2 linked regions of the Drosophila melanogaster genome follow. The protein of the gene in region 1 interacts with the protein of each later gene in a pairwise test. Each region holds a gene or a part of one and is shown on either strand. Other genes may lie near its edges.

Region 1 (4,849 bases):
GACCAAATCGAATCCGAGGATGAGTTAATTTCTCGCAAAAATCTCATCGAGAAGCTTATCGATCGCCTCATCTATCACGATCAGGTCATTATTCCGCTCAAGACATCCACGCTGAAGCCGAGAATTCAGGTACAAAAGGATTTCGTGGAGGAGGACGATCCCCTGCTGGTGGTGCATCCCAACTACGTTGTGGAGTGATCCCAGCCGATCAACAGTTTATTACTATGCCCTAAATCTAGCTGGTTAAGTTTCTGTTTCCGCGTCTTGCTTTTTTTTGCTCACCCAAACAAACAATGTATTTAGGCAGTAAGTTTATAGTTTAGAGACATTATTGAAATCCATTAAGGATTTCTTGGTTCAGTTACGTTCCAAATCATTCATGTTTTCGCCGAAATAAACGTTCATCTCAAGATTCATTTCGTTTTTTGCTGCTCATTAAGAACGGAATGAAAAATGCAACCCAACATGCGCAGTCAAAATGATAGCAAATCCATGTTTTAGCTTGGTTTCCATTCATTTTAATTGTATAGATGCGTTGATTAATTGCCTATGAAATAAAAACGAGGCGCGCAGTGCGATCGAGAGCGTGATAGATACAATCCTACTTCTCGAAGGTGTAGTGCTTGACGCCAGGGCTGGGATATTGCTTGGCGGCCACGGGGCGGTACATCTTCTTGTCATCCAGCCAGTAGTAGAGTGCCAGGCAGCCGGACATCACGCCCAGGAAGCAGGCAAAGTAGTACGCATTGCTGTAGCGTGGCGGTTCGGCCTGCGACCAGCGATCCTCGCTGTACAGATCATGATCCGCCGAGATCTGCAATGGAAATGGATCAGGGTTTGACTCTTTTTTTATGCAGCAGCTGCTGCTAGCCGTTGATGTTGGCGCTTACGGGCTCGTGTTGGTTGCGCTTGTGCTCCGGATAGTCCCAGGGATAGTACGAGTCCTTGGCCTCCACACCCAGACCGTAGCCCAATTTGGGATAATCTCCGTAGCCCAGACCATCGTCCGCATACGGTTTGTACTCCTCCGGCAACAGATAGTACTTCTTGGCCGCCGCCAGGCGCTCCTTCTCCGTCTGTGGATACGGACCCGGCTTGTAGTCCTTATTCCAGCCAGCCACTAAAACGTAAATGGCGAGAAATTCGAATTTGTAGCCATTCGGTGCATGCAAAAGTTACGTAAACAAAACAGTGGGGCAGGTTGCACTGTTGCCAGCGCAGCCCCGATTCACACTTACTGCTGCGGATCGCCTGGCGAGCCACGACGGGATTGGCGGCGCACAGCTTTTGGGCCAAGCACACGGTTTTCACAAACGCCGACATTGCAGGCTTGTTTCCACTAAAAAAAAGTTCCTCTGAAGTTACGATTCCCGAAAAAACAGCTGTTCGCCTGCGGATGGCACACAAACGATAGGATACAGTGCCGCAACGGTCTGCTATCGATAGTTGTAGTTTCAAAAAAAACAAATAGAACTATCAACAGATTTTAAATTTGTTAGCTATGGAATAGGAATTTACAGTTAGTACTAAGGTAACTAGGTGTTTCTTAAAAATGTTTAGGATTTTTGTTTCTCAATTTTTATGAACTTAGGCAGCAATCGTTACAAAGTCGATAAGAACAATCGATGGTCCGATAGCTCTCACCCGCGCATCGAGGTGCTGTTGTTGTTTTTTGTTGTTGTTGGTGTTGTTGTGGTGGGCTCGTCCGTGAAAGATCACTTGCTTGCAAACTTATTTATTAATTACCGACTAAGGAATAAGCATAGAGATGGTGCTACCATTATTGCAACGCTCCACGCTTCGCGGCGTTCAACAAATGACGAAACCCTGGGCCGCCATTGGAAGTTTGCGTCTGGTAAGGATTCCAAGTGCTGTGCAAATTGGATATATATTTTGTAGCGAGATGGCAAAAATATTTTGCCTTATGTAATGCTAGATTCGCCCATGCAGCGGCTAATAACTCCAAAATATGTTATTTTTTTGATTGTAAACAAGGCGCGGCGAGCAGAAATGCCAATGAAAAGTGCACAAATGCCGGCGTTTCGTAATCATTACACAATGGAAAGCGGAGGCGAGCGACTTCCAGGCGCTGGAACGGACGTTCCAATTGGCACACCACTGCGACCACTTGTGGACGAAACTCCAATTGGCGCGCGACTCCAATTGGAAGCCGTCGCATTGATTTTTTCACTCAATTTTCGCAAACGTTTTTTATTTTCATTTCGCACTCAAAACTCAAATCACATGATTGAAAACAAAACAAACTCACGGCGTTGAAAAAAAAAGGGAAAAGAGAGAACCATAAACTCGCGAAACGAGTTGTAATTCAAGAAATTGTGCTAGTCAGCGAATTCTTGTTTTTTTTTTTCGGCAATTGAATTAAAACCGGTTAATTATATATGGTACTAGATGAATGAACGACCACTGTAATACACTACCGATTATTCAGATAATGCTGCATATAAAACATATGTATATAAGACACTAGATAGTAGAGCTACAGTCCGGCGTAAATTCCACCCATAAATCCCGAGGAACAGCGCTGGTCACATGAATAGCACTGGAAATGCAAAAGTTCGAATCAGTCTGTTTTTATAGAATTGCTATTGCAATTATTATGCATACAATATACATATATACACAAATATAGTTCGAGATCCTCGCACTACTTTCGTGCCCCCTGCTGTGTGCACCCCATGCCCAAGTTGGGTCTTTCATATTCAGCGCCCAGTGCTCGGGCATTCAACACCTCCCACCAATTCTGCGGGAAGTTCGCTCGTTGAGAGCGCTCTTTCAAGAATCTGTTCGTTGTACACTCGGCTTTTTGGTTTTGAATCCCCCTAGCTTATCGCCTCTGCCTTTCAATGCCCGAGCACGCCTCAGTTAACATCGAGCAGCAGCCGTCGTCGAGTGGTCGTCCTCTGATTTGTTCACTCTGATTGCCATAGTCTCAATTTGGCTTCACTTACTTACTATCTGTCATATCTGCATCTGAAATGGTCTGCCCCTGTGTTTACTTACTGATAATTATAGCCATTCTTATCGGATTCATTCGCATCGACAGGCCTCCCAGGAGTTTCGCGTGGAGAGCGACACCTTTGGCGAACTGAAGGTGCCCGCGGATAAGTACTATGGCGCCCAAACGATGCGATCCCAGATCAATTTCCCCATCGGCGGAGCCACCGAACGGATGCCCGTAAGTAGTGCCCCCCACTGCCTCCATCTACGTATACATATAATTCTCACGTAAATCTTTCGAAAGTATTTAAAAGTCAGCATTGAAGGTTCAAAAAGCAGCAAGGTCTAGCTAATTACTAAGTAAAATATGGCTTAAATTAAGCTTCTATTACAGAAAGCAGAACAAATGGTGAATGCTAGTTCAATGAGTTTGTTCATTGTAATTCAGAGTCTATAGAAAGTTAAAGTCTAAAAAATGTATTAACTACATTAACATAACACACAAGTATGTTGCGTAAAGTAAAAAATAAGAAGAAAACACATTGAAAGCAACTAAAACTCTCGTTAATCCCCGCCAGAAACCCGTGGTCCAGGCCATGGGCATCCTGAAGAAGGCCGCCGCCGAGGTGAACAAGGAGTTCGGACTGGACAGCAAGGTTAGCGAGGCGATCTCGAAGGCGGCCGACGATGTGATCTCTGGCAAGCTATACGACGACCACTTCCCGCTGGTCATCTGGCAGACGGGCTCGGGCACGCAGAGCAACATGAATGTGAATGAGGTGGGCATGAGCGGTCATTTGTTTCATTTGCACTATTCTCAAATCTCCTCTAACTCTCTAACTCTCAAGGTGATCAGCAATCGTGCCATTGAGCTGCTGGGCGGCAAACTGGGCTCCAAGACGCCCGTGCATCCCAACGATCATGTGAACAAATCGCAGAGCTCCAACGATACCTTCCCCACCGCCATTCACATCTCGGTGGCGCTGGAGCTGAACAACAACCTTAAGCCGGCGATTAAGACGCTGCACGATGCGCTGCGTGCCAAGTCGGAGGAGTTCAAGGACATTATCAAGATCGGACGCACGCATACGATGGATGCGGTGCCATTGACGCTGGGCCAAGAGTTCAGCGGCTATGCCCAGCAATTGGCCTACGCCCAGGAGCGCATCGATGCCTGTCTGCCGCGCGTCTATGAGCTGGCTCTGGGCGGCACTGCTGTGGGTACGGGTCTGAACACACGCAAGGGATTCGCCGAGAAGTGCGCTGCAAAGATCGCCGAGCTGACCAGCCTGCCCTTCGTTACCGCGCCCAACAAGTTCGAGGCACTGGCTGCCCGCGATGCCATGGTGGAGGTGCATGGTGTGCTCAACACGATCGCCGTTAGCCTGATGAAGATTGCCAACGATATTCGTTTCCTTGGCTCCGGACCGCGTTGCGGTTTGGGTGAGCTCTCGCTACCGGAGAACGAGCCAGGTAGCTCCATCATGCCCGGCAAGGTGAATCCCACGCAATGCGAGTCGCTGACAATGCTCTCCGCCCAGGTGATGGGCAATCAGGTGGCGGTGACCATCGGTGGATCCAATGGGCACTTCGAGCTGAATGTATTCAAGCCCCTGATCGTGTCCAATGTGCTGCGCTCCATTCGGCTATTGTGTAAGCTACCTATTACCCACCCTTGGTGGAACGCCAAATCAATCGAATCTATTCCTTTTTGTAGCTGATGGCAGCAGGACCTTCACTGCCAACTGTGTGAATGGCATCCAGGCGAACCGCGAGAATATTGCCAAGATCATGAACGAGTCGCTCATGCTGGTGACCGCTCTGAATCCGCACATTGGTTACGACAAGGCTGCGAAAATTGCAAAGACGGCGCACAAGAATGGCACCACAC
Region 2 (7,770 bases), on another chromosome or scaffold:
AGGAATGTGATATGAGGAGAGTATATAGGTAAATAATCAAGTCTATCAGATGTAATCTTTTTAATCTTTTGGTTTCATAATTCAAAACAATGGTTTTCTTTTTTTTTACTATGTACAATAATTACTTTTATTGTATTTTGGCAAAAGTCTAAAGCTAACAACTAGTGTATCTATGGGTTTACATTAATTTAAGTGTTGCGATGAAAATTGATTTTGGGATCTAAAACTAGAACAGTGCCAGGAGTTTTGGTGCGGGATCCCATTTACCGAGTCCCCCTAAAGAACAGAACGCTAAGCGACTAGGCGGCTTAACCTACTCCGACTAACAACTAGAATCTAACAACGGATTCGGTTCAGTTGTTGTGCGGGAAACATTGTAGGAGAGACTATATAGTTAGGCTAGATACCGCGTCAAAGTAGTTAACTAACTAGCCATATACATACGTGATATACATATACCTATTTATAATCTATCAAAAATGCCGTCAAAATGGAATTTGTTCTCGAAACTGGAGGAGAAGGATAGGATTCTCTTTTCATCTTCGATCGTTTGGTTTCGGTTTGTTTTGGAAAGTTTTCTTAGGCTAGCTTATTCAGTGGTATCTCCTCAGTGGGATGAACCTGATCCTTTGGCTCTGGTTTGCTAGTGCGGCAGCATTTGGTTTTGATGCCGCCAATATCCTGGCGGCAAATGAGTCCGATGACGATGCCAATCACGGCCAGAACCATGATGCCTAGTGGATTAAATTGAACAAATTAGTCTGGTTTTGTACCGCAAGTAAAAGGTGTATAACTCAAACTATAACTGTTTAGCAAGATGCTTAAAATAGTTGATGTTATAAACCTTAAACCGCAGTTTGTACTCACAGATGAGCAGCGTGTTGATGGCCTCCTGGGAGATCTGCACCTGATTGGTCTGGCTCTCGGCAGGCGGCTCCACGCTGACTCCGCTTGTGCTGGTCTCGGAGCTCAGGATTCCGGCTTTGACCAGCTCCGTGCTGTTGTCCATTTTGCCCCGATTGCGATTGGCTAAATGCGAACAATGGGAGGTGAGCAACAGACACGTTAGCAAGATGATCTACGAGTCATGGGAAATAGCTCACCACTTCTGGGCGGTGCGGGTGTGGCGGTCACTGGCTTTGCAGTGCTGGTGATGCTGGCGACGATGGGCGGATTTGTAATCCCCTTGAGCGGCGGCTCCGTGGGATAGATGAGACTGCCGTTGAAGGGGGTGCCCAGTACGAATTCGTAGCAGCTGATGTCGTAGTTGAGGAAGCTAATCGTGTCGATGGAGGTCAGCAGGCTGCACAGCTCCTCGATGTTCTGTTGTTCCAGTTCCGGCAGCTTCAGTTTAATTATTTTTGTTAGCGGCGAGAAAGCTTTCGTATTGATTTGCTGTCGGAATGGAAAAGCGTGAGCGGGACAACTATATAGACAACTGCGCGATGGCAAACACAGCTGTTTTGGCTTCAGTTGCGCCAACTATCGATAGAGCGATAACTTGTGCTATCGCACTTTTGGCTCGCCATTCTTACCTGTTTAAAATCGTTCTTGTTCAAGCGCAACACCTCCAGGCCACTCATGTTCTGGAACGTCTGTTCCGGCAGTTCCGTCCAGCTGCAGTTGACGCAGCTGAACTCCACCAAGTCGGGCTGGTTCAAGAAGGATCCGTCCAGGCGCTGGGTTATGGTGTTGTTGCTCAAATCGAGTAGCGTTAGTTCCTTGGCCGCCGCAAAGGTGTCGGGATCGATTTTGGTTAGACGGTTGTTGGCCAGCCGCAGGCGCTTCAAACGCTCCGATCCCTGAAAGACCTACAATAGATAATAAGCACATTAGTTACAATTTATCTAATTAGTAGAATTAGCTGGGCACTTACATCCTTGTCTATGCTGCTGATCAGATTGTGATTCAAATTGATTTCCACCGCCCTGGACAGATTGGCAAAATCCTCCGGCCTCAGTTCGGCAATCACATTATGGCTCAGATCGATGATGGCCGCCGTTTTGGGCATGTCCAGGGGTACATGGGTCAAATGGGCATTGGCACACTGAACGAACTTGAAGTCCTCCAGGCAGAGGCAGTTGCGCGGGCAACTGGGCTCCAGGACATGGTTGCTGCGTCGTGGTATATCTGCAAAACGATATTCATTAGCCTTTTCAGTTCGGAATATATAGATTTATGTTATGCTCACTAAATATTGGTCGAAATGTGGTGGTGGTCGATGTGGAGGATGATTGTGGCATCAGTCTATTTTCTGCTGTCTCCGGCGATTCCTCGCCCGTCGCTGTTTCACTGTAGTCATCATCGCCGTAATTAAAGTCCTCGAGGGGATTTGCCTCCTCACTGCCCGCTGGAGCGGCATTTGTGTGGCTGATGCTGTAAGAGTAATCATTAAATTATTTTCCGGTCTCGACTGAATAAACCAACAATATACCAATTTGGTTTTTTCCACGACTTATAAACGAATTCACATTGCTTATGAAGAAAAACGCAGGGCAATTATATGTCAAACGAATGCGCATTTCTGATAGAGCAATTACTGTACGAATTCGTTAAGTGGTTTTACCAAATACCCAAAATTGTCAATATTTGGCTTTAGATTGTCGGTGGGTTCTAAGCGGTACGTGCTTACATCACTCACGTCTTGAAGGCGAACACACCTAGCTAATTTGTCCTGAAAACGCTCTTGACCCATATCGTTATGACCACGCCATAGCCACACAGAAACATTCGTTTTCCCCACTATCATTATACGGCTATTGTTTATGTTTGCTCCGCGAAAGAACATGAATGAATACACTCACATGTGCGAACAAGCCTACATACAAAGTATTTCTCGCTACAGTCGTGGTCACAGCAATAGCCCTTAAATGAATTAAAAGTATTCAATGATACAAGGCTTCTTAATGCAATTCATTAGATTATGCATATATTGTAAAATATATTTTGCCTTTCGTTTTTTAAGAATAAAGTAAAATCAAATAGATATACTTTCAAGCTAAAGAAAATAAAGAAAGCACACATTTCTTTTATTGTAACTCAAGCACTTTTATTGTCTGTAAAGTTGTTTATTTGTTTCTGTTAACTGACCTTACATTTTCGAAACGTACTGTAGCTACTCAGTAAAAAGCACAGATGAAACCAGTTTACTTCATGGCAAAAGAGACAACTCGACCGGTTTTAGTTTACGATTTCGTTTACTCTCACTTTTTTCAGATTTATTTTATTTTTTTGCTGTCATTTGTGACCCCTCTTCATTTTTTTTTTTGTCTGATTCTAAATCGTTCGTTATCCGTGCATTCGGCGACTTCAGTTCTAGTGGGTTGTATTTACTTTTAGAAAAAAAGGTGTAAATTGGCTAGTAGAGTAGTTCAAGTGAGTCTTTTGACTGCCATGTAGAGTTCTCTTCAATTGCGTGACTTTTGAGTGAAGTTTCAATGAATGCTGCTGAGGAGCCTTGTCAATCCTTAAAAGTGCCAAAATGAACAGAATGAACGACTTTATAGAGTCGAGTACTTGAACCGCAAGTGCTGATATGTAGCTATTAATTGGTATATAGTCCTACCGGATAATAAAGATATATTTATCGAACGTTACGAATTGCCTTCAAGCTTCAGCTGCTCGCCGAAGTTAATGGGTATTACGAAAGATCTCTAAACTGTTACTAAGCATGACGACCTAGTCGACGTAATTCCCTTGACTACTTGAATGAAGTGACTAAAATTGGAAGCGTCGCACTTAAAAGCACTCTACTTTGACATTTGATTTCGAGTGGCTGAAAAGGTTTAAAAAGGCCCAAAAATCAATAGAGAAATGGGCTTATGTGCACTGGGAAAATTATACTAGTACTAACATGCAAAGAACGATTAAAGAATTTTATCTTAGGTTTTAAAACTCAGAAGTATTTAAAAAGATTTTTTTTAGGGCAAGAATATAGAATATTTATACATAATCGATAATGTCTAAACCTCGTTTCAGTTGTAAATTAAAAGAAAAATCTGAAAATCGAGACAGTTATAAATTTCTATGTCATTTGCAATATTGCTTGAGATATTGGTTGAGAAATTCAAAACGCTGAGCAAACAATTTGATAAGCAATAACGGTATAAATTATCGGACAACCGGGGAATTGTTATTATTTTTATCAGAACCAGATTATGCGATATGATTAAGTAGAGTGTAAATTCGTGCACCTTATATATATATTAAAGGCGGCAATTAAGAGCGGTTGCCGTGGACTATCAATAAAATGTTGCTGTTTTTTTTTTATAACCCCATGCGTGAGTATTCCATTTGGCATTGATATCTCAGTTGTGGGCGGGTCAAAGTCCCGTTACCCTGGTTCACCTGTCGTTATTTCGTTTTTAGTGAATTAATCACTGCGAATGTTGCTAAACGGAAACTTTGCCCCGTGTCTTCCCTGTTTTTCGTTTTTAGGAAAGGGTCTACTGATTTCTATAAATAAATGGATTACTTATTTTCCAGCCCCATAAGAATAACAAATGTGATTTCTCCACATATCGAGATCTGTAAATATTTATTACAACTTGATTTTTACCTCACGCTTAGCAAAAATATCAGCAGTAATCCAAACTTGTAGTACACGTGCATTATTATGAATTATTTGTTTACTGATATTTGTTTAGCTTTGTTTTCACTGCGTCTTCAAGGCGTCGTGTTGTTTGTATTTGTGTTTATCTCAGGGTTTTCATAGCATTTTCGTCGTTTTTGCCAAACTTGATGTGAAAATTTTCAAGCTGAAAATAGATTTTATTAGGTGTTAGGGGCCTATTTTTGCACCGCTATTCTCGTTTCACTTTGCACTTTTAATATTCATCTGTTTTGCTTTGAAATTACAGCTTCAAAGTTGATTAATGTCCATTTACATTTGCCGGCTTACTTTTGGCAAAAGTAAAATAATTATTTTTCACTCCGCTCGCACAAACTTTTCCACTCGCTGCCGATTCTCGAATGAGCAAAAATTCGCCAACAATTCCCATTCCGTTCGACTGACTGAACAGGTGTGTGTGTGAGAGCTTCGAAGAGCGGCAAATATTATCTCTTTTTCTTTACTCTCACTCTCTCTTCCAAACTCTCTCATGTTAAGTTTAATGTTTAGCCGTGGTTATCTTATCAGTTTTTAATATTTAATTGCTTTGTCTCATACCCTCGCGATTTCTGCTTAGCTTTTAACCAACTTCTGACTTACTAATCGATTATTATCAATAGTAACAATTATGGAATTCATGTTTTCAATGAAAACAGAAAGAGCAAACTCACACTTTAAGCACCGTAAATAAAGGCTAATCGGTTTGGGTAATCCTATCTTAATTAATAAGCATTACATCACATTAGAAATTAAAATTTCAATTGCCATATTTTCAACATAATAACTTAAGCAGCAGATTTGGAAGTACAAAGAAATCTTTAGGACGGCTTGTAATATTAATAAAATTAATTACACACTTGTCTGATTAGAATTAACGCCGATCGTAATGAACTTTGCTTTGGACTTGACTTATAAGTCGGTCGGCCCGCCTTTTGATATGAAAAAAGGGAAGCTTTCACAGTTTATTTACATAATTTGCTGGAAAAATGTGAAACACTTGGCTGGCTGAATCATAGCGATTAAATTGGACGTGATTTGAGTGAAAAGTTTGTTTGAATATTTGTTTCACCGAGTGCTAAGTTAAACTCTTGTTTTAATCCCGTTTCTAGGTCTTTGTGTTGTGATTGCGATGAACAATGTATAGCAGCAGCGTTCTTTTTATCGCCTAGAATATGTTGACCTTTAGTCCACTGCGCTTACTTCGAATGACACGCGTCGTCGTTTTTCTCGATAATATATGTACTAAATTGGGTATTACACTAGAGAGTTTTCTCATCGAATTCTACTGAATGGAGGAGTATCGCGTTTAAATTATACTTAATGATTTGCTAACTTGGCTTTTTGTTGTCGCGCGATAACGTGCGACTCATGCCACCGTCGATTTGAGAATGAGCTGCGAACGGAACCGCAGAAGTTGCGAGCTTAAAAATTGAGTAAGTTGAAATAGAGCGGCTGAAGAGAGTCTTCTCTTAGCTTTCGAATCGCTCTCTTCACACTTGATTCTTCAAAATAATATTTAAAAAAGAAAGAAAAAACAGAGAAGCCCATTAATTACGCAAGTGCATTTTTCAATAAATCGCTGACTCATGGGCACTTGTTGCCGGGAAATGGCATTGCATATAATTTAGAAATTGTTAAAAAGCCCCAGAGGAAGAAAAACCCTCTTCGTTGCGAGTATTCCACCATTTCCTTCAAACTTTTACTTTTATGTTTATGTTTATGTACTTTACATGTCAATGACTTTTTGTTTAATGTTCTTCGCTCTTCGCTTCTCTTCGGCGATTTTAGCGATTTCACAAAAAGCGAGTGCAGTGAAATCTTTTGTCATTTCAAATTGGCTGTTTAATTGCCTAATGTTGCTTTGTTTGCTCATTAAACTGTAAGTGGTCCATATATTTTCTCATGAAAAACAAAAAATCCATAAAAGCGGATAAAAATGTTCGCCGCGCACATTACTTTTGTTGGTTTTTGGTGGTTGTGTTCGTGTGGAATTCTATAGTCATGTCTTCGATTGGCGGCCTCAAGGTCAAAAATCGCAAATCCTTTTAGGCAACTTGCTCAGGCCAAAAATATAACGGCATTTTGGAGAGACAGGGGTTCGTTCTCTTCATTTACATTTTAGCGAGGGCTGCTTACAAAGTTCTCCCATATCGGGATATTCTATTTTCATTTTCAAGTTTTTCAAAAACTTCTTCATGATAACTGATATTCCTTTTTGCTGTTTTCGAATGCTTAGAGGTTTATATTTTATTTGAACATTTTGTTGCCTTTTGTTTAGCATTCACTATCATATACTTTATCAATGGCTTATTATTATAATATTATATTATATTATATATTAAAAGAGAAAATTATTAATTATTCTCAAATGAGTATGGAAAAATCACTGCAGTGAACGGGCATTTTTAAAAAACCTAACTGGTGCTTTACTTCAAAGATTAAAGATTACATGGAAGTGTATTTAAAATTCCAAGTGTAAATTCCCCTAGCATATTCAATATTCTATAGCTTATTTTTACCCCAACTCTTTCTCCGCATCTGCTGACATAAACCGGAACAGAACCTTTGTTGGGCAAACGACAAAAGAAAAGCAGCTGGCTGTCTGGGCTGATCCATAAACATATTTCCCTAATTCCAGTTCTTGATTCAGAAAATTGCCATAAATCATATTCGCTTTGACCTTGCCGTTTTCTATGATTGACTGGGATTTGCACAAAAGTCGAGCGAGCAGCTGGAAGCTAAAAGATGGAAAGACCGACTGAATCAAATCTCGGGACTCTTTCATTTTCGCACTGATTGGACTTAATTCGTTTGCATGGGTTGCATTCTGCTTTTGAGGTCTTTTGGGGTCCCAGAAGATTTATATGCGCGCTGAACTCTTGACTCGTGGGGGTCTCTCTTAATTTAATTTCCCAATCAGCTCCACTCACGCTCTTCATCCTTTCTCTTTACAGTATTGCAATGGCGGCGACTTGGCGGATTATCTGAGTGTCAAGGGGACGCTCAGCGAGGATACCGTTAGACTCTTCCTCGTGCAACTAGGTGAGATTCGAAAATCCTATATAAGGGGTAGCCCTAACTAATAATTGTCAAAGATCAATATAAATTGTAACATTAATATTACTTTAGAACAACGAAATGTATTATAATTAAATATCAGA

What was found.
Region 2: the proteins of ND-ASHI (region 1) and CG42709 interact in a two-hybrid assay, tested with the Drosophila melanogaster proteins (one large-scale study listed by BioGRID).

What each region holds. Positions count from the first base shown.
Region 1 is NC_004354.4:6,676,762-6,681,610, forward strand, and holds ND-ASHI (NADH dehydrogenase (ubiquinone) ASHI subunit), read right to left. Parts: upstream 2,358-4,849; 5' UTR 1,856-2,357; coding exon of another isoform or gene 1,769-1,855; exon of another isoform or gene 1,663-1,768; intron 1,500-1,662; exon of another isoform or gene 1,437-1,499; 5' UTR 1,324-1,436; coding exon 1,239-1,323; intron 1,121-1,238; coding exon 891-1,120; intron 815-890; coding exon 602-814; 3' UTR 501-601; downstream 1-500. Other genes in the region: Mcm6 (minichromosome maintenance 6), read left to right, coding at 1-198; Fum1 (fumarase 1), read left to right, coding at 1,769-1,855, 3,065-3,196, 3,537-3,737, 3,807-4,611, 4,676-4,849.
Region 2 is NT_037436.4:12,788,422-12,796,191, reverse strand, and holds CG42709 (uncharacterized protein), read right to left. Parts: upstream 6,001-7,770; 5' UTR 5,810-6,000; intron 4,975-5,809; exon of another isoform or gene 4,758-4,974; 5' UTR 4,612-4,757; coding exon 4,559-4,611; intron 2,377-4,558; coding exon 2,192-2,376; intron 2,131-2,191; coding exon 1,877-2,130; intron 1,812-1,876; coding exon 1,536-1,811; intron 1,396-1,535; coding exon 1,104-1,395; intron 1,030-1,103; coding exon 868-1,029; intron 735-867; coding exon 580-734; 3' UTR 108-579; downstream 1-107. Other genes in the region: Atg1 (Autophagy-related 1), read left to right, coding at 7,564-7,651.